Linked DNA regions of Cricetulus griseus. The protein of the gene in region 1 purifies or fractionates together with the protein of each later gene. This does not show direct contact. Links are inferred from orthologs where the notes say so. Each region holds a gene or a part of one and is shown on either strand. Other genes may lie near its edges.

The links.
Region 2: the proteins of Acbd6 (region 1) and Nmt1 purify together in Homo sapiens (co-immunoprecipitation; 3 studies listed by BioGRID and IntAct, with this or other methods). This does not show direct contact. The link is inferred for Cricetulus griseus from reciprocal best matches to the Homo sapiens genes ACBD6 and NMT1.

The regions. Positions count from the first base shown.
Region 1 is NC_048598.1:36,205,944-36,217,165, reverse strand, and holds the start of Acbd6 (acyl-CoA-binding domain-containing protein 6), read left to right. Parts: upstream 1-4,212; 5' UTR 4,213-4,801; coding exon 4,802-5,023; intron 5,024-9,601; coding exon 9,602-9,666; intron 9,667-11,222. UniProt on the Homo sapiens protein: Binds long-chain acyl-coenzyme A molecules with a strong preference for unsaturated C18:1-CoA, lower affinity for unsaturated C20:4-CoA, and very weak affinity for saturated C16:0-CoA. Does not bind fatty acids. Plays a role in protein N-myristoylation.
Region 2 is NC_048600.1:115,075,664-115,086,276, reverse strand, and holds part of Nmt1 (glycylpeptide N-tetradecanoyltransferase 1), read left to right. Parts: intron 1-808; coding exon 809-953; intron 954-5,458; coding exon 5,459-5,577; intron 5,578-7,831; coding exon 7,832-7,923; intron 7,924-9,153; coding exon 9,154-9,270; intron 9,271-10,193; coding exon 10,194-10,364; intron 10,365-10,613.

The DNA.
Region 1 (11,222 bases):
CCAATAGTTTTATAATTAATATAGCATCTCTCTGTGTTCATTTGGGGCTGAAGTGGCAGGACCTGGTGGGACAAGAAACTCCAGTAACACTTATTTATCCCAACAAAGTATATCAGGAAATATAGAAATTACAATGTGGTTACATTCTGTTTTTCAAGTGAATGATTACAATGAGTAAAAGAAAAACAGCATGTTTTTTCATATACTTTATGTGATTAAATATTTGATGTTTTCCAGGTAAAAAACAAATTATCCCAAGAACATTCCCATGTACATTCATAACCAAGCAACTTGTTATACATTAACTATGTGGGCAAGCAAGATATTCTTAGTCAGGTCTTTTACTGGCAGGCTGCATTTTGCAGTTACAAAGAAAAAGTCAATTACTTTTTATTGCTTATCTTGAATGGGAATCTTATAAGGAATCTTAAGGGAATCACAAATCTAAACTTTTATATATGAAAAAGAATCAGTCAACTCTACTTAACATTTAGGGTGCATACCCACTCATCAATAGATTTTTATATCAGGAGATTGAGAGCAGAAATGGGTACAAGGAATCATAACCTCTGGTCAACCAACCCTAGCAAGGAAAGTACATTAGCTAGTAACAATTGGGCGGCTTTATATATTTTTTAAAGATTTTATTTATTTATTATGTATACAGTTATCTGCATGTATGCTTGTACACCAGAAGAGGGCACCAGATCTCATTACAGATGGTTGTGAGCCACCATGTGGTTGCTGGGAATTGAACTCTGGTCCTCTGGAAGAGCAGTCAGTGCTCTTAACCTCTGAGTCATCTCTCCAGCCTTGCTGCTTTATATTTTTTTACATCAGCTTTGTGTCCTTGTGAACTTTAGATTGTTTTCTAGGATTTTTCATCTTAAAACTGTTATCAAAGCATCTGATCTAACCTCAAGTTATTTTAAAGCTTTGTTTCTATTTCGGCTAATGATGCACACTGAAACCTGTGACAGTGTCTTTCAGCATTAAGATTAAAGGAATTTGAGCCAGATTGGCTCCTGGACACAACTGTTTTTCTTAATCATTAACTTGAGCTATGGCCTATGCGGCTCCTTAGATGAAACTCTTAGGCCCCAGCTGTGTGGCATTTCCTTGTGTTTATTTTCATTTATCAAAACTATATAAGCTAACATTATTATTATCAATTAGACTAGACAGTACAGTTTAGGGAGAAATCATCTTTATGATAATCCACAGAGAAAAGTTCCCAGTAGATTGGGATGTTTCCATGAGATAAATACACTACATTATAGACAGTGGGGGGTCTCCCCACATCCATTCACATCATTCCAGATACCAGAGAAAGATAGCAGCAACAAACATGTAAAGGCACAGCAGAAGCAAAAGACATTCCAGGTCTGTGGCCTCTGGGCCTTTGCCTGTCCGAGATACACCCATCTCATGAGGAAGCAAGACCATGATCTAAGCAGTCTTGCAAAAGGTCTCTCCTTACGTAAGGTCTATTTAGGCAACAGAGACTGACTTAGGAATGTATGCCTAACTTCCTTGCTTAACATTGTTAAGCTGTAGCTAGTTTGGTAAACTAAGTCATACAGAAAACTGTTGTGTTCTATAATGTTGTAGTATAAAAGGATCAGGGAAGATCCCAGTCTCTTTGTGGACTGTGTTTATGAGTTAAGTCTTATCTTGATATTAAAAGAGTTTCCACTCAGAAATTGTTATTTTTTTAAGTATAACCTTAGCAAGGATAAAGCTATAAAATCCTAATCATATAAGATAGGCAAGTTTAACTGTCAGTCATCTCGTACAGGATCAACTTCTTTGATATGTTCAGATTTAGCTGAGCCTAAAACAAATAACTAACAACACATATTACTAGCTGGACACACCTGATCCCAAGTATGAAATGCATAAAAGTCCAGATCCAGAGCCTGGCAACAGTTCAGTTAAAAAGTGTAGAGAAATCAGAATGATATGGTAAAATGGAAAAAGAGTAAGACATCAGTCAGGACCTTCCCTTTTGGGAGCCTATCAGGGGTCAGGCCCATATAGTAAGACTGAGACACAATTAGAAAACAGTACAGTGCTTTTGCTACATCATTCCCCTTGAAGAATGCTCTTCTATTGTAGTGGAGTGTATGCCCCCCAAAGGAAGTCCTTTTCCCAAGATCAGGCATTTGGATAAGAACCTCCATTCCTCAGGGGCTTGAGGAAAGTTCCTGCTTGGTAAAGGAATCATTTTCCTTATCTCTAACAAGAGGAACTGGTGGCCCTTCCGCTGATGTAAAAGGATGCCTGATGGAGTTACTGAACCTTAGAGAACAATAGGCATTTAGACACTTGCCGAATGTATCATTTTTGTCTTTGGAAAAATGCTGTGATAAAGTTGATGGCCACTTTCATCCCGGAATCATTGAGTCTGCTTTCAAACTTGCCTGTGGCTAAACGATTGTACACTTATAAGTATAAAAAGGTGTAGCCTTTTTTCAATAAAATGGTAGTCATCCCAGTTCACCCTTAGATCTTGTCAGTCTCCCTCCCCCTCACTAACTCCAGGCCTCCTCTTTAGGACCTCAGCCCCACTGGAGCTGGATTTCAGCCGTACTCCACTGGCATATTTCTTCCAGTTATCATATTTTAAACATGTACATTTGTCCTTGTTATTCCTTTTGAGGAGGGACTAATGGTGGAACCATTGATTCTCTATTCTCAAAAAAAAAAGTTTGTTGAATTCAGATCCAGGCCTTTTACCTTCTGTTTCTCATTGTTTGCTCATCCTGTCCAAACTTCTTTTAAAGCTTAATCCCAAGTGGCCAATAACCATTCTTTGTAATTAGCCTTATGCTTATTGGTGGTTTTAGTGATAAATGAGTATGTGTGCATTTACAACATTTAGAACATACTAGCCACTGATGATGCAAAAACCACATCCCTCATTGTCTTAGTCAATGTTCTGTTGTTGTGAAGTGACACCATGGCAACGACACTTAACGGGGGCTTGCTTAAGGTTTCAGAGGTTTAGTCCATTATCATCATGGCAGGAAGCTTGGCAGCAAGCAGGCAGACAAGGTGCTGGAGAAATAATTGTGAGTTTCTACATCTGGATCTGGATTGGTATGCAGAAGAAAGAGAAAGTCACTGGGTTTGGGCTTGGGCCTTTGAAACCTTAAAACCCAGCCCCAGTGACTGACTTCCTCCATCAAGGCAGTGTCTACCCTAAGGAGGTCACACCTCTTAATCCTTTTTAAGTAGTGCTACTCCCTGATAAGGAAGCATTCAAATATATGAGCCTATGGGCTCATATTATTTAACCTACCACACTCATCTTAAATGGTAAAGTTTATTCTGGAGTCACCTTGAGTGACCATTGCCTGGGGAACACAAATTTAGGTTACCCCAAATTCCATGTTCCAATGTGGAAGTAGTTTCATAGTTTTACAGAATAAAGAAAGTCATAAATCAAAGAAAGCTTAAAATACTTTGGTGGGTACATCAGAAAAGCAGTAAAAATGAGATGGGAGAAGCTTTTCTATATCCAAGAAAGTATCTGATGACATTCCGTTTTTGGGTTGGTGGAAGTTTTTACTATTATTACCACCTTCTACACACACACACACACACACACACACACACACACACACACACACTTATATGAGTCACCCCAACAACTGAGAGCATTCAGTGAGGTTCTCAAGTCCCTGCATGAGAGAATACCAAAATGGGGCTTTCTTAAAAGCCGGTAGCTAATGTGGCAAATATGCATGGTTGGTGGGTAGGTGTAATGAAGTTTGTGTGTCCGTGTAGTTTTCATTTTTGACAGTGTGCTGAACACAGACAAGCTCTGTTCCTTTAGGGCAGAGCTATGGATTTGATTTTAAGATGTATGAGAAATGTATCAGCCAAGTATGAGATGAGATGATGCTAAAGAAGGTGGGTCTGGGGGCCTGGTGAAACCTTCTCTCAGAGCCCTGGGAAATGAGGGATCAGCAGGTATGGAAAACAAAACATTGAGGAAGGTCATTTGGCTATTTAGACACACGGTGGGGCAGTGAAGGCTCCATCAGCCGTTCACTTGCCATTCAAAACACAGCCAAGATATCGAGGAACAGGCAAGAGAGGGTCTGTGGGAGCCTGGGTAGCACTGACTTGGGTGGTTAGGAGAAAGCGGAACTTTCCTCCTCAACTCCCTGTTTCCCGCGACGCCGATTCTGCAGCTACACCACCGAATGGACCGCCTCCTTCCCCTTCCCCGGGGGCCTATCCGGATGAGTTCCGGAGTTTGTGACTCCGAATTAGCCTCAAACCACGAGCAAACTCCTCCATAACTGAGGCCGGTCTCTCCAACTCTCTCCGCCCTAACCCACGACCCCGTTCGGGGAAGGGCGTGGGCTCGCACGCGGGGCAGGCGGGGCGGCGTAGCCACGGGCGCGTGCTCCGGAGCGCGTCCCGCCGAGCTCGCGCCCCGCGCTTCCCCACCTAGCTCCGGTGGCAGTGGTCCGCCGCGCGCCGGTGGCTTCCCATCACCTCCCTGCCTAGCGGCCTCCAGACCCCCGCGCCGTTGGAGCGACCCGGGCGAGGCCAGGCACTCGGTCCGACCGAGGAAAGCCGAAGGAGGACGGGGCGGCCCGGGGAGAGCTGCCAGGCTTCGCAGAGGCGGCCCTACGCCCCCGGGCAGGTCAAGTGGCAGAGTCACCTGAGAAAGCCACACAGCTAGCGGCGTCCCACTGCTGCCCGGGCTTCGCACCAGACTAGTGGTCCAGGCCCGGGAGGAGGCGTCACACCAGTGAGGACAGAGCATATCGAGCTAGTGGACATGGCCACCCCGTTCCTACCCGCAGGGGCCACCACAGGCGACAGCGGTGGGGAACTGAGCTCCGGGGACGACTCCGGTGAGATGGAATCCTCCCAGAACCCTGAGACCGAGGCATCCCGGAACCTGGACGAGCTGTTTGAGAAGGCTGCTGCACACGTCCAAGGCCTGGTTCATGTGGCCAGCAGGGAGCAGCTCTTGTACCTGTATGCCAGGTACAAGCAGGTAAAAGATGGGTGGATAAGACAGGGCACGGGCGTCTTCCTCCAAAAACTTACAGAGGTGTGCCGGGCTAATGGTGGAATGTAATGAAGTGTGTGTGTGTATGTGTTAAGTTTTTTTTTTTTTCTTTTTCTTTTGTGTGTGTTTGTTGACGGTAGAGAATAGCATCATTCCGGACATGGAAAAATCCCCCTGCTATCTTACGAATGATTATTTACTTGACTGGACACTGACACTATTTCTGTTCTCTCATTAGTGGCCTTGCGCCTGAACCTTTACAAAAACGAGAATGACAAAATAAAATTTTGTCATTCGTTGCTGCCAAAAGAACATGTGATAGAAAATATGGTAATGTTAACAATAAATTTGAAGTTTAAGAGAATATTTCTCTATATAAAACACAATACACTGTTACTATTGCGATTTTTAGAAACTCTAAATATAGTTGACATGCTTTTGGCTGAATTTGGTTCTGTTAGATATAGCCCCCCCCACACCTCTTTTTGTATAGGGTTCCATGTTGGCAACATGAGGAGCAGGTGATGAACTCTTGACTCAGCTTCCATCATCACTTTCTTTTACAAATACACAACAAAAAACCCAGGGGAGTAGGCAGCTCAGAAGGTCACATGGATATATTAGAATTAAAGTAGTTTCTGACTCGTAAGACTGAACTTTACCTAACGATAAGGAAATGTATGAGTTACATATGTAAAACTAATTTATCATTCAAAGTTAGGTACCAAAAGGAAAAAACAATTGCTTTATCACAGTTAACAGATACAGTTCAGCCTAACACTAGATGTCATGTCTACAGAGAATGCAAAGATGAAAGAACATGACACTGCCCTCCAGAGGCTTACAGGGTTACTTAAGGAATCTAGATGGGAAATGTGAAAAATTGATGATGACTTAAATAGCAGCTCAGGAAAACCCCAGCTCTTGGAAACGTTGAAAGAAATGAAGCTCTGGATAATAAACCTCTTATTTTATTAGAATAGAGAAAATGCCTCTTGGTATAGTTATATATTTCTCCTGAATTCTCTTTTTTAGGTAAGTGTGAGGACCCTCATGTATTTCTGATTACGTTTTTAGTGTGTACACATGTGTGACAGTGTTCAGGTGGAGGTCAGAGGACAACCTGCAGGACTTGGTTCTCTCCATCCATCATAGGGGTCATCAGGCAGAGTGGCAAGCATCTTTACTTATGGAGCCATCTTTCTGACCTGTTCTGTATTCTTAAAGATACACTGAATGGAGTGATCTTGCTAATAATGGTGTGGCCCGAGAGAGATTGGTATACAAGTCTTGTTCAACATTTTGTGTGATTCAGGGTGTGATTGTGCAGGCTGTGCTTTGGGGAGGTAAAGTCAGTGATCGGCCGTTGAGTTCAAGACCAGCCTGGTAAACACAGTAAGTGCCAGGTCAGCCAGAGCTACACAATGAGACGCCATCCCAAAACAAACAAACAATTGTGTGATGGGAGAAACACACAAGCACTTCTGTTACCAGATTATATTGGCGATTTTGAGGAAATGGGAAAATCACAGCTGTAATTGAGTCACAAACTTAACTATGTCCTTTTTCCATGGGACTTCATTTTTACTTATCAAAAACTATATAAATTGTTTAGATTTGGGTGTTTGACAGATAGTTTCTTGAAAATGAAAGAAGTGAGCCTGGAAAACAGCTGTAAATATTTGTTGCCAGTGATCATATTTGAGTTGTCAAATGAAAAGTAGAAGTTTGGAAAAAGTGGGGGTCTGCCACAGTGAGCTTGACAGCTTATATAGTACTCTTCATGCGATGCTGGCAGTAATGAGTGTGAAATTTCGCTCATGTATAATGTCAACATTTGGAAATGCTGAATGACTGAATGGAATCTTTTCTAAATATCTTTTCATGGAGTAATGTTAAAAATCAGTTTGAGCAAAAGTTCCAATCAAAATGAAAACCAGGGGAGTGGTTTTCACTATAACTGTATAAAAGATTCACAGTAAGTTCAGATTCCACATCATAACTAATCTTGGAGAAACTACCATTTGTTGAGTTTTGTATCAAAGAATCTCCATAGTTGGTGGGAGTGCTACACAAATAGTAATTTCTAACAGTGTGTTTATGTGAAACTGAAACTGCTTCATGGGCTCCATCCAAACCAAATGTACAGTGAGAGATTGGATGCAGAAGTATGACAATACAAGTATGCCCAATAGTGAAGAGATTTTTAAAAATGGCAGAGCAATTTTCCTGGTTTTTTTCTCTTTTTAGGTTAGAGTGTAGTAATTTTTTATGAAAAATTTACATTACCATGTACTAGATTTATTTTTAAATAAGTGAATAAATGTTTTAAAGGTATAATTTATTATTTTTTCTTGTGTCTGTATTCACATGTGTAGAGTGTGTGTGTGTGTGTATGTATGTATATGTGTGTAGAGGCTAGAGATTGATGGCGAGTTGATATCTTCTTCACTTGCTCTCTACCATATTCATTGAGGCAGGATATGTCATTGACCTCAGTTGCTGATTTAGCTAATCTGAGTAGTTGGCCAGTCTGGCATCTCTAAAATCATATCAACTGCTGGACTTTGCTACATCTACAAAAGGGGACAGACTATAAATACCAACTATAGTACTCAGGCCATGCAACTTTTGCCTACTTATAGGACTGGATTTTTTTGAAAATTATAGTAAAATATTTTGCTTAAAAACAAAGGTGGGGGTGCTAGCAAGCTAGCCCAGTGGTTACGAGTACCTGTCACTCTTGCATAAGATCTGGGTTCAGTCTCCAGGACCCACAAGTGGCAGGTTACACCTGTCTGTAACTCCATTTCCAGTAGATCTGATGACCTCTTCCAGCCTTGGCAGGCACCAGGCATGCCTACTCATACGGAAATGTTGTAGGAGATGAGGAATTAGGGCAGCCAGTGAAACAGCTTAGTGTATAAAAGCATTTGCCCAGCAGGCTGGACAACCTGAATCCAATCTCTGGAACTCATGTCAGAGAGAGAAAACTGACCTGAAAGTTATCCTCTGACTTTCATACACACTGTGGCTTGCAAGTGTCCAGCTCACATACACACACAAAATGAATAAAATTAAATAGTCAAAAAACAAAAGGTTCTTCCTCCTGCGTTGCCTGAGCTAGAACATGCATACTGATTTTGAGCTTCTCTGGCCATGAAAGCAGAACTTGAAACAGGAGTTCTCGAACTCTGGTTATGTGGTTCCTGTGATTTCTTTTGCCTCTTAGAATTAAACTCTCCAAAGAGCTTTAGTATGTGTAGATTTTATCCGCCATATATATAGATTAGAAATTTAGATCTTGGCTGGTGCACGCGCGCGCGTGCACACACACACACACACACACACACACACACACACACACACACCTTTAATCCCAGCACTCAGGATTACCCCTCCTCCCCCCTAGCTTTGAGAGGTAGAAGTAAGGGGGTTCAGGAGTTAAAACAACGTAAGTATTGACCACTTGGGGTTTATATTATGTTGACACACCTAAGTCCCACCCCAGCTTTTGACGTCTAAATTTATTTACTGTGGTGCTTTTTATTTAGGTTCTTGTTTTGTTTGTTTTGAAACAGGTTTTCACTGTGTATTCCTGGGTGTCCTGGAACTCACTCTGTAGCCCAGGCTGGCCTTGAATTCACAGATTGCTGGGATTAAAGGCATGCACCACCATGCCCGGCCAATGTGTCTCTTTTAAAATAGTACATTTTTAGTACAATTTATCCTAGATTTGAGGAGAGATAAAATGCTAGTAGAGTCGTGAAAATGATCATAAAAAAACCCAATATATATGAATTCTGAAAAACCAAACTTTAACTTCTGTTAATTACCGGTGAAATGGTTATGCATGTAAAGCATGTGTTGTGGAAGCCCGAAAGAGAACCTGCACAACAGAGCGGCCCTCTGACCTTCCCAATCCCCGGCACGCACACACCACACACAGGAATAAATTACAACTTAGAAAATTATATTTTGGTGCCGGATTCAAGACATGTAGCCTTGGCTGGCCTTGAACTCAGGGAGATCCACCTGCCTCTGCCTCTGGAGTGCTGACTAAAGGGGTGAGCCACCACTGCCCAGCATAAAATTCTATTTTAATGGCAGTAAAGACTATAATTTTATCTGTAGCTTGTTTTATAAGTTACAGTATTACTTAGCAATTACCTCATATAGAAAGCCTAGGTGGTGTTTTCATATAAGTAATTAGATAATTTAGACAGAGTCTCACTGTGTAGTCCTGCCTGGCTTGGAGTACATTGTGTAGAATAGGAGGGCCCTGAACTCATAGAGAGCTTTGAGTGCACGGAGAGTCACCTGCCCCTGCTAAAGGTGTACATCACCACACCTGGTGCTGCTGGTGTTTTTAATTTGAAGTATTTGAACTTTTGTCTGCTTTGCAGAGAATGTTAAAATTGTTATCCTATATATATTTAAATATTTTCTAATCTATAGTTACTAAATATACATAATAAATTTGAAAAATAAAAAGTCCTTAGACATTCTTTAGAAAACTAAAATAAATTCTTGTTATTTCCCCCCCCCCCCTTCCTCTTTTAGGTCAAAGTTGGAAACTGCAATATTCCTAAACCAAACTTCTTTGATTTTGAAGGGAAGCAAAAATGGTAAGAAACATTCTTGGGATCTTTAGTAAGGTTGCTGGAAATGACTTAGGGGTTTAGGAATTAGAAAGGGGTTAACAGATTAAAGAATTCTTTCTATGTTAATCTCTCCGAGGTTGGCTGCTAGTGACAGGCAGTGGGAAAGGGATTAAAGCAATCTGCTTTCAGCTAAGTCTTCATCACTGGTGTTAGTATGTAGGTAGGTAGAGCACAGGTGCACTCCCGTGAGAGAGCCCTTTATCTTATTGCTCAAGGTTGTTTCTTGTAGATAGCCTCTGGGGAACCACTTCTCACATACAGAAGAAAGGCAAAGAACAAGATAAATCCCCACCTCCTACTTGTCTCTGCCTCTGCCCTACAGAAAAGAAGTGCTTGTCACAGTTTTTTGTAAAGAATTGTGGAGAAAAAAATCTAAAACCTGATATAGGCTCACTCTATTCTGAATACATTTTTTTTAACCTATAATTCAGAGAGTCTCTCATATTATTTTTCCTTACCTGGCTTCAGTGAAAAAAAGAGAAAGTGTTAAACAATAGTGAACATAGTTACAAAAGGGAAGACTTTTGTGCATCAGCCCCAGTGGTAAAATTAGTGTTGAGGGTCGAGTTATTTATTGCTTTGTGATCAGTATGTTAAGGAGGTATTCCTATATTTCAGTAATTGCTGAAATTTTGAAACTCAGAGTTAAGCATGTGAACATGACTGTAAACATACAGTTAAAGCTGCCCACTCCAATTTGGTATTCTGTCAGTATCAACCACAGTCCTTTGGAGTCTAAGTCACGTGGTTTCCAGCAGGCCTATAACATATCCAAGGAACACCTTCCTGTATTTATGCTAATTACTTCTTGTATTGAAGGTCTTTTAGGATAGTTTTCTATTGTTGTTGTTTTGTTTGTTTTTAGATTTATTGATTTTATTTGCATGGATGTGGTGCCCACTGAAATCAGAAGAGGCCTTTGGAATTGAATTTACAGATGGTTGTGAGCTACCATGTGGGTGCTGGCCAGGAACTGAGTCTCTGTTCTCTGCAAAAGCACCAAGTGCTCTTATCCAGTCCCAGGGTAGAATTTTTTTTTTTTTTTTTTTTAAAGAATGAAATGTGGTTTTAGAGAGAAAAAAATGCTAATAACCCTTGCATTTGATTATATATCCTAATACTGCCCTGCACCGAATGTGCTCTGGACAATAGCAGCTGCCAGAATTCCGCTGTGAGGAGGGGCTAAGCTTGAACCTGGGTGCCAGTCACTTATGCTGCCACCACACTCTTGAGTTGAGATGAGCTTCTTTTTTTCAGTGTGTGGTATATCTTCAGTGCTTCCTTTTACATTTTGTTACAAATGTTCTCTGTTGATGATAAGCAGTTTCTGGAATTTTAGTATCTAGAGAATGTCATATGTAGCTTTTACCCTGAAATGTATCACTTCATCATTTTCCTTATTCATTGCCCAGTTCTCCATGGTTTTCAGTGATTCTCTGCCTCCCAAAGTTTATATATTTTATAGCCACTCTTATTAACTAGTAAAGCAGAAAACTGTGTGATATTGCCATACCAACTCA
Region 2 (10,613 bases), on another chromosome or scaffold:
CAAGGCTATACAGTGAGACCCTGTCTCAAAACAAAAAACCAACAAAAACGCCAAAAGACCAAAAAATAAACAGCAAAATCCCATAGGTAGCACCCATTAGCTAATTCTCAGCTACTCTTTTCTCCATTTCTTATATAATATGTAAATAACCTCTAATTAGAACTAAGGAACCACATACCATTTTTGACTGTACCCTTTACTTCTGAACTCTTGGTTGTGTGCTTGTGTATACTTGTTCTTACATGCTGCACATGTTATGTGGGCAGTCAGTATCAGTTTTCTTAATCACTTGCCACCATATTTTTGAGAGGGGTTCCTCCTTGAATCTGGAGCTCCATGATTTGGCTAGATTAGTTGGGCAGCAGGCCTCCAGGGATCCTCACAGCTTCACCTCCCCAGCAGTGGGGTTATGCATATACTACTGTCGTCAACTTTTTCTGTCTTGGTGCTAGACATGAAACCCAGGCCCTCATGCTATCGCCCTGAACTCTTGCTGTTTTGATACAGGATCTCATGTAGCCAAGATTAGCCTCAAACTTGACTCTTCCTCTTGAGAGCTAGGATGGCAGATGTGTACTCCTATACCAAGCTAACTCTTTTTGTTTGTTTGTTTGTCTGTCTGTTTGTTTGGGACAGGGTCTCACTGGTTGGCCAGGAGCTCTCTGTGTAAACCAAGCTGACTCATAGAGATTTGCCTGCCTCAGCTTCCCAGTGCTGAGATTAAAGGTGTGCCAACTCTTGAACTCTTAGTGACTCATAAGTCTTGCTAACACAATGGGTCTTTTCTTTCTCCAACTGTCTTGTCCAGATGAACTCTTTGCCAGCAGAGAGGATCCAGGAAATACAGAAGGCCATTGAGCTGTTCTCAGTGGGTCAGGGACCTGCCAAAACCATGGAGGAGGCCAGCAAGCGAAGCTACCAGTTCTGGGATACACAGCCAGTCCCCAAACTGGGTATGTATTTCCTTTTGCAGGTGAGAGCAAGGAATGTGCCTTGGCTGCGCTTCTGTGGGTGTTCTCTAATGGAGAACCACAAGGTCCTAGAGATCTGTGGTGATTGTTTCTAGAGGATTGTCTGTAAAAGGAGCATATAAAAGGCTATTGTTCAGAGTCCTTGTCATGTCACAGTGTCACACTCAGAACAAGCGACCATCATCATCTTAAGTCTACAGAGAACAATGTCTTAGCACATGATGAGTGGGGATGTCTGTCCATGGGTCTATCATCCCACTTAGATTAGTGAAAGACTGTTGTGTTTGTGTGGACGAATGTGAACTCTGGAATGGGAAGAGTCCCCAGAATCCTCCGCTTTCAGCTAATTCAAGCTTACTAAGTTCAAGTAATAGTCAGGACTCAACTCCAAGAATACTATATTTTTCATCAGGTACACTTAAAAAGCCACAGTGAAGCCAGTGGTGGCATACACCTTTATTTCTTGTAGCACCTGGAGGCAGAAACAAGTGGATCTCTGTGTTTGAGGCCAGCCTGATCTACAAGGGTAGTTTCAGTCCATCCAGAGCTACATAGTGAGGCCCTGTCTTAAAATAACACTTAACTGTAAAATGATGTAATAAACTTGTAAAGGGATTAGACAGACGGAAACCCCATATGTATTCCAGAGGTAATTGCACCTGCTGGAGTTAGAGATGTCTGCTAGACCTGAATCATCACAGCTGACCTTGGTCACTGCCCTTGGAGCTTCTGGTGGAGGTTTTGGTTTTGTTTCTGGGACTCTTGGGACCCAATTCTTGTTTCATGTGTATGTAGCTGAGGAAGTAAAGTGTGTGTTGTTTGTTTTCCTTTTTTGAGGGGGGGGGTGTGTTTCTCTGAGTAGTCCTAGTTGTCCTGGAACTCTTAGAACCCAGGCTGGCCTTGAACTCACAGAGAATCACGTGCCCCTGCCTCCCGAATGTTGGGATTAAAGGAATACACCACTACTGCACAGCTCCTGGTGTGTTTTCTTTTTATGTTTTTAAAAAGATTTATCATTTTTTGAAATGACCTGTGTGTCTGTCTGTGAATATAAACACAGAACAACAGGCAGTTGTGAGCCATCCAATACAGGGCTGCCTGGGGATGAATTTTGTCCTCTGCAGCATGTGCTCTGAATTTTTGAGCCCTCTCTCCAGCCCCAAAACACTGGCGAGATGGCTTAGTCATTATAGATGATTGTCTACATTGAGACAAATCATAACGTCCTGAATTGCAGCTCCAGGGTATCCACTGCCCTCTTAGGACCTCTTAGGGTATACACACGTGTGTCATACACATAAAAAAATATGTATCTTTGGGCTAGAGAGATGGCTCAGTGGTTAAGAGCGCTGGCTGCTCTTCCAGAGGTCCTGAGTTCAATTCCCAGCACCCATATATTAACTCACAGGCATCCGTAATGAGATCTGGTGCCCTCTTCTGGCCTGCAGGCATATATGTAGGCAGAACACTGTACACATAATAAATAAATAAATCATTTAAAAAAATGTATCTTTAATAAAAATACCCTCATTAGAGAAGCCTCTCTTTGTAGTAAGAGGTAATTTACACAGTCGAGACCTGGTCAGTGTGCGGCAAGTAAGGGACTGCAGGGTGCTCAGCACTAAGTGGACCCTCACTCCTGTCACTCCTCTCCCAGAGGAGGAGGGAGAACAATTGTGAGAGGTGTAGTAGCCTCAAGGAAAGTGTTCGTCAGGCGCTACAGGGCACAGAGGTCGTGACAGCAAGCACAAGGCCTGCACGAGCTCTTCAGACAAAACCTCAGCATTGTGCAGGGAAGGTGGACACGAAGCCCCACCACCAGCTGAGGAGCTGTTAGCATTTGATAGCCACTGGGAGAGGCAGAGTGGGTTTTCTTTAATGATATGACCCTTGACAGGTTAACTACACACCACTGTGGGCCCCACTCCCACCTCTAGCTGGGCAACAAAATCTGGACTCAATGGAGAAAGAAAAATAAAATCTCAAGTTAGTTAGGTGAGAAGGGTTGCGAAAGTGATAATAGGAGAAGTTTGGAGGTGAATATGTTTAGACATATTGTATGAAATTGTCTAATAAAAATATTATTGAAAATTAAAACAAATCAAGAGTTCAAAGATAGCTTCCAATATGCAGTGAACATGAGGTCAGACTGAAAACTACATACGATCATGTCTCAAAAAGACATTTGCATATTAATGAAATGTTTTTGTTGTTTTTTTGTCATTTTTCAAGACAGGGTTTCTCTGTATTGCTTTGGCTGTCCTGGAATTCACTTTGTAGACCAGGCTGGCCTTGAACTCACAGAGATCCACCTGCCTCTGCCTCCAGAGTGCTGGGATTAAAGGTGTGAGCCACCACTGCCTGGCCAGATATGCCTTTTTATTTTCACATAAAGAGCTAAATCCTGCTGCACATGGACATATCCCTTTACTGTAAACAGAATTTGTTGAATAGATAGCTCATGGTTACGAACACTTGTTCTTGCAGAGGACTCAGGTTCAGTTTCCAGCACCTGTGTGATGGCTTCCAACCATCCATAACTCAAGTTCCAGGGCACTTGACCCCTTCTTCTGACCTCCATGGACACCAAGCACACGTATGATGCATATACATACAAACAGGCAAAACACTCATACACACACAAAAACAAATGAATAAAATGAAATAAATAAGCTTAAAATTTTAGGTGCCTATGCCTGTGTGTGTTGGGTATGTGTTTGCCCTCAGAGGCTAGAAGAGGATGCGATGTCCACACCTGCTAGAACTGGCCTTTCAGGTCCATCATGAGCCACCTGAAATGGGTGCTGGGAACTGCGCTAGAGTCTTCTGGAAGAGCAGCAGTGCTGTTAGTCACCTCACCGTCTTCCAGCCTCCGTTCAATAGTCTTGATCTGAGCCAAGGTTTCTAAGACAGAGTTCATTGATGTTTCATAGCATGTTAGCACGCACAGTGCAGCTTGCCCATGTGTGTTCAGAGCCAAGGCTACATAACACTGCCATGCTTAATTTTCAATTCATTTTTGATATGTGTGTCCAAAACCATTTACTGTTACCAGAACTTTCTTGACAGCCCCACTTTCACATATGCAGGCCTGGGTTAGGACTTCGTTTCAGAAGCTTTGGTCTGGAACAGTTGTTAGGTGCCCTCCATGAGCCTTCTCCATGAGCCTTCAGTCCCTCTTCCAATCATGTCATTCTTTCCTTGTTGAGGGGAACAGGGTTTTTGTTTTGTTTTGGTTTTTTTTTTTTTTTTCTTCCCCTTGACTTTAGCTGTCCCTCTGCAGCTCATAGTCTGTCCTCTGCTGTTTACGGCTCTCGGCTCTGCACAGCAGACATGGGCGGCATGGCACCTCTAACTAGGAAGTAAGTGACTGAGGACAATAGGAACGAGCTTGTACATACTGGTACATACCTGTAATCCCACATTAGGAGGCTAAGACAGGAGGAGTGCTGTGAGCACAAGGCCAGCCTGGGCTACTTAGCACTCTCCTGTCTTAAACAAACAAAACCTTAACTGCTTGACTGCCTGGCTTTCCTCTCTAGTCTCATCTAGTTTTAGTTTCTCCCCTTCATCTCAGCCTCCCAAGCTCTCCCACAGAGGAGGGGGGGTGGTGCCAGAGGGAGACTTCCCGGCAGCATCTGCAGACCTGTGAGTCAGCCCCAAGGCATTTGTAGTGCTCAAAGCACAGAGGCCCTGAGCTGGCAGAGGCAGGCAGTTAGCTGGCCCACAGGGCTGGAAGCTGAAGCTGGAAGGCCAAGAGAGCCTGGCTGCTAGAAGCCGTCATCTGACTGAGGAGTGAGCCCAGTATTCTGTTGTTCTTGACACAAAGGCAGCCTTGTTGCAGCTCCTTACAGATCTCCTCAGGTTAGGGAAGGGTGTGTAGGCTAGAACATAACGACACTGCACCAGCCAGGAGGCAGGAAGCCAGGTTAGCTATGATGAATGTTTGTCACTCAGGAGCCCAAGGGAGATGTACAAGGATTTCCAAAAATGAGCCACCTTGGATCCCAGATATTCTTCTGAGGTTTTGTTGTGCATTGGCCCTCAACCAGGGACCAAAGGTAACTGGAGAGAGAGTTTTCAGTTGCCAAGCATGGAATGTTCTTCAGCTATGGGGTTCCTAGGGCCAGGGGAAATTAGCTCTGATAATGTGTTTTTCCTCAGGTAGGGTCTCATGTAGCTCAGACTGGCCTTAAACTCACTGTGTAGTGGTAGATGACCTCAGAGTTCTGATCCTTCTGCCGCTGCTAAGTGCTGGCTGTAGTCGTGCACCACTGTGCCCAGGATATATAGTACTGAGCCTATAGTACTCAGTACACAAGCAAGATGACCACTCTAGCTGCTGAACCTCATCCCCAGCCTGTAGACCATGTTGGCCTTGAACTCACAGAGATCCGCCTGCCTCGCTGCCTCCAGTGAATGTTTTAAACAAGCTCTCCCTTCCCCCTGGTGGAGCCACCTGTTGACTCCTGGCTGTGCTTTTCTAGGTGAAGTGGTAAATACCCATGGGCCAGTGGAACCTGACAAGGACAACATTCGCCAGGAGCCCTATACCCTACCCCAGGGCTTCACTTGGGATGCCTTGGACCTGGGAGACCGTGGTGTGGTGAGTAGGCCTGATTTGCAGGTGGGACTCTTAGGAGCTGAGCCACAGAGGGCTGAACAGACCCCATCTGGTACTTTCTGGGTGTGCCCAGACTCTACACACTAGTAGTTAGTATCTCATACTTGTAAGGCTGAAAGCTGTCTTCTCAAGTTCCCCATTGTAGAGTCTTTTTTTTTTTTTTTCCCCTTTTATTCCTTTGTCATTGGATTTGTTTTATTTTTGTTTTGCTTTGATTTTTGAGACAGGGTCTCTATTATGTAGCCCTGTCTAGTGTGGAACTCATTCTGTAGACCATGTTGGCCTTGAACTCACAGAGATCCACCTGCCTCTCTGCCTCCCAAGTGCTGGGATTAAAGGTGTGCACCACCACAGCCTGGCCAAAGCAGGCTACTCTTGTGGAGGCATTTTCTCAATTAATACACCCTCTTCCAGATTGTGTTAAGTTGACAAAAATCAGCCAGCACAGTGCATGTGAGTTTGGGGGACCCACAGAGGTCAGAAGCGGTGTAACTCCTGAAGCTACAGTTACAGATGGTTGTGAGCTGCCTGATCTGGGTATTGAGGCATGAGCTTGGTTCCTCTGGAAGAGCGGCAAATCCTCTTAAACACTGACATCTCTCCAGTTCCTTATTTTTATTCTTGATATGGGGGCGTGGGGTGCATAGCCGTGAATGTGCCTGTGCACGTGTGCATCTATATGCTTGGTTCTTGTTTTGTTTTTGAGATAGAGTCTAACTATATGGCCCTAGCAGGCCTGGAACTTGCTAGATGACCAAGGTAGCCTTGAACTCATGGAGCTCCATCTCCCTTCCAAGTGCTGGGATTACAGTCATGTAACACTGTGCCCAGCATTTGTTTTGGGTTTTTTTTTTTAGGTAGATATCTGTTGGTATCGCAGGTATGTGTCACCAACACCTGATTATGTGGTGCTAGGGACCGAACCCAGAGCTCTGTGTGTTGGAACCCGGCATTATGCTGACCTCACCCCCGACAATGGGTGGGACACACAAATTGGCATTCAAGCAGACACTTAGGCAGCTCAAAGGGCCCTGTGTGTGTGGCCATGTCATGGCTATGTCACGGGGCTGCGTAAGGACTCAGTACACATGTGCAAGCTTCTCCTTTTAAGCGGGCAGCTCCACATGTTCTTTCCCTCTCCCTTCGCCCCGCCCCCTCTCTCCTTTCTCCCCTTTCTCTCCCTTCTCTTCTTTCTTTCTCTCCCTCCCCCTTCCCCCTTTTCTTCTTCCTTGTCCCATTAATAAACTCCACATGGGTTTGTTGACTCTTGTGGTTTTTGTTTTCATCTACTCTTCTTGTAAGTGAAACAAAAGAACAAAACTGCACACTGGACTAGTAGACAAATAGTCTACCAACTGAAGTACTCCCCCAGCCACTTTCTTTTTTACCTTTGAGACAGTCTTATTACATAACCCTAGCTGGCCTTGACTTTGAGTCAGGCCTCCTGCTTCAGGCCCCTGAGTGATGAGATTGTAAGTCTGCACCAACACACTGTTATCCGCTTGTTTTGACACCAGAGACCTAGGAATTTCTTTCTGTGTAAGAGCCCTCTGCCCTCAACTCAGGGCTCTAGGGTTCCTCTTGGCTTACTCTCCACCATACCTGGTTTAGGAACAGATCTGTTTGGGGAGAGCAGGGGTGAGGGCTGGAGGATGGGAGATGGGGAAGGATAGACAGTGCGTGTGCCACAGTACCTGTGGAGGTCAGAGGACAACTGTATAAAGTTGTTCCCCTCCTACTTTTATGTGAGCCTAGGGATTGAACTCAGACAGACTTGCACAATAAGTGTTTTTACTTACTTGGGCCAGCTGAGGGAGACAGCTTAAAGGCAGAAAAAGGACAAAAGTCTTTTGGGCTAGATGATAAAAACCAAACTTTTATTTATTTATTTATTTATTTATTTGTATGGCAGTGATGTCCTGGGAGTAAATAGTTTGACAAGCCCCCAAAATCATGTTTACAGAATTTGGGAAGCTTCCTCTGGTGGAGAGACAATATTCTAGACACCACTGTGTACTGAAGTCTGTGGCTCTGCCCCTAGTGCTTCTGTTTCTTATCACACCCATGGGTACTTGTTCTAAAAGAATCCTTGCCATGCCTGGGATGACACAGGTTTGAGAGATTTGAGGTAGTTCTGGCAATTAGCGTTGTCCTTCTGTGAAGCTCAGAGCCACAGGGCATTGGAGTTGGCTTCCACTGGGCAGAGCACTTCAGTGAGCTACTCATTTCTCTGCAGCTAAAAGAACTGTACACCCTCCTGAATGAGAACTACGTGGAAGACGATGACAACATGTTCCGATTTGATTATTCCCCAGAGTTTCTTTTGTGGTAAGTTGTAAGGGTGTCTTTAATATAATTTTATTTAACTTGTAAACAGTGAAAATTTACTTCTCATGGATCTGGAGGCTAGGAAATCAAAGGATCCCAAGGGCTTAATGTCTGGTAAAGGCCTGCTCTCCGGCTCCAAGAGCTCTTCCAGTTTTAAGGGCAAAGCAGATAGCAGAACCACAAAGGAACATGGAGTTCTCCTCCTTCCCAAGAGCCAGCCTTTGAGTGGCAAACTGCTTTGTGCTTGAGTTCGTGCATCTGGAGACTTGCTTTAAGTGGTGCTTAGAGCTGAAACCTTCCTTAAAATAGATGGGCTGAGGGAGACATGCAGAGTTGGTGCCCAGAAACAAAGATCATCTACCATATGGTGACCTTTTCAAGGGGAGAAGGGCAGATGAGACCTACTAAGATTTGAAAGAAAAGTTCTTTACTATCCAGTTAATGAGCATGCTCAGTTATAGAAAATGGCCTACCCTGCATGAGCCATCTACTACCCTGGGCTACATTTAGCATCTAAGAAGATAGAGGCATGAGGCTGAAGTGGCATGGGTTCACCCCAATGGATAGGGGAAGCAGAAAGAGAAGAGATGCTCCAAGGGGCAGATGGCAAACCCCAGGGTTTCCAAGTTAGTCCCTAACCAAAAGACCACTGGCCTCCAAATGACAGTCCTCTAGTTCAAGCTGTGAGATGAACATAAACACTAGCCATGTTGGCACATGCCTGTAAAACCAGCACTTAGGAGATAAAGACAGGCAAATCTCTGCATTCAAAGCCAGTCTGTTGTACATAGAGGGTTTCAGGGCAGTTGAAGCTACATAGTAAGACCCTGTTTCGAAAAACAAAAACACAGACCCTAGCAAAGGGGTGTACTTATGGCAGAACCAGGATGGTCACAAGTTTGAAGACAGCCTAGGGTGCATAGAGAGCCTGTTTCAAAAAACAACAACAAATAAGACTGGGCTGTGTGGCTTAGTGCCAGAGAACTTGTTGGAATATATGTGCAAGCCTGGGAACAATCTCCAGCATGACCGGGACAAAGATGCTTTCGAGAAATGCCTGTGACTTGATTCTGTCGGAGTCTAGGACGCCTTCGTCCTAAAGAGAACGTGGTTGTTAACGCCCAGGCAAGTGGTAATGCCAGCTCAGGACCCAGCATGGCTCTGGAGCCTAAGCAGCTCTCCAGCCTGCTGTAAGTGGTACCACAGCTCCTGTCCTCATCTTTGTTCCAGGGCTCTCCGGCCACCTGGCTGGCTCCCACAGTGGCACTGCGGGGTTCGAGTGGTCTCAAGTCGGAAACTGGTTGGGTTCATCAGTGCCATCCCAGCAAACATCCACATCTATGACACGTAAGCATCAGCACTTGTCACCACCATCTTGCTGGTCTGGGAGGAAAGGGAAGAAGAAAGCTGTGTGTTTACCTGTGAAAGGAAGATGGAGGCATCTGTATGCTGGGAGTAAAACTCAGCATGGGAACCACGTGCTTTGACATTTATCATGGCCCTTTAATCACAGCACTTGGGTGGCAGAGGCGGGTGGATCTCTGAGTTCAAGGCCAGCCTGATGATCTACATAGCAAGTTTCAGGCCAGCCAAGGCTGCATGGTGAGACTGTCCCTGAATTGTAGCTGGTTGCTTTGTCTGTGACTTTGCTGAGGCCATCCACTTCTGCATTCCTGCCCCAGTCACATGGTTATACAATTGAGCAGCTTCAGAAATGGGCAGGAGCTAGTGTGGCACCGATTCAGATGGTCTCACAGTCATCTGCTGCAGTCTTCTGGATCCACAGGCTGTAGATTCTTGTGGGTATCAAAATCTTAGATTATCTGTCAGTAGTGGTTCACACCTATAATATAAGCTACATCTTGGGAGGTAGAAGAAGGAGGGTCGATGGCTCAGGGCTGGCCTGAGTTACTTATCGAGTTCAAGATCAAGCTTGTCTCAGATCCATACTAGCCTTGATTTACTCTGGGGTTTCTTAATGCTGCTTCATCGTCTGCTGCAGGTGGTACTCCTCAGCCTACTCACAGGGACTCCCCAGGGTGGTGCTAGTGGTGCCTGCAGATAAAGTATTCACAGGCTTCCCACTTGCCTTTTGAGTAGAGAATGTGAGGCAAGCTTGCCAAGTAGAAACTGGTAGTGGGTGGGATCCCCAGTAGTGACAATGACAGCAAAATGCACACCTTCAGGTGTAGCACTGCCTAATTTGAAGAGATTCCATTCCTGTTGTGTGGGAAAAACCTTAGCCGTCAGCATTTTGCCTCCCTCTCAAGAGAGAAGAAGATGGTGGAGATTAACTTCCTGTGTGTCCACAAGAAGCTGCGCTCCAAGAGGGTGGCTCCAGTTTTGATCCGAGAGATAACCCGGAGGGTTCACCTGGAGGGCATTTTCCAAGCTGTTTACACTGCTGGCGTGGTATTGCCAAAGCCTGTTGGCACCTGCAGGTAAAAATGTCTTCCTGTGGGTCTTGGGAGTGCTGGCTATAGCTGAGGAGTAATGTCACTAAGACATAGCATTGCCCTGCTCTGTGCCTGCTCAGTGGGGTGTGGATGGCTGGATAGCTGGCCGCAGCCAGGTGGAGAACATTTTGGGAATGTGAAGGAGGTGTGATTCAGACCAGTTGCAAAGAGATTCTCAAATCGGATTACCACCAGTTACAGATGAGGGTTTTGTTTAAAGTATGAGGCCAAATT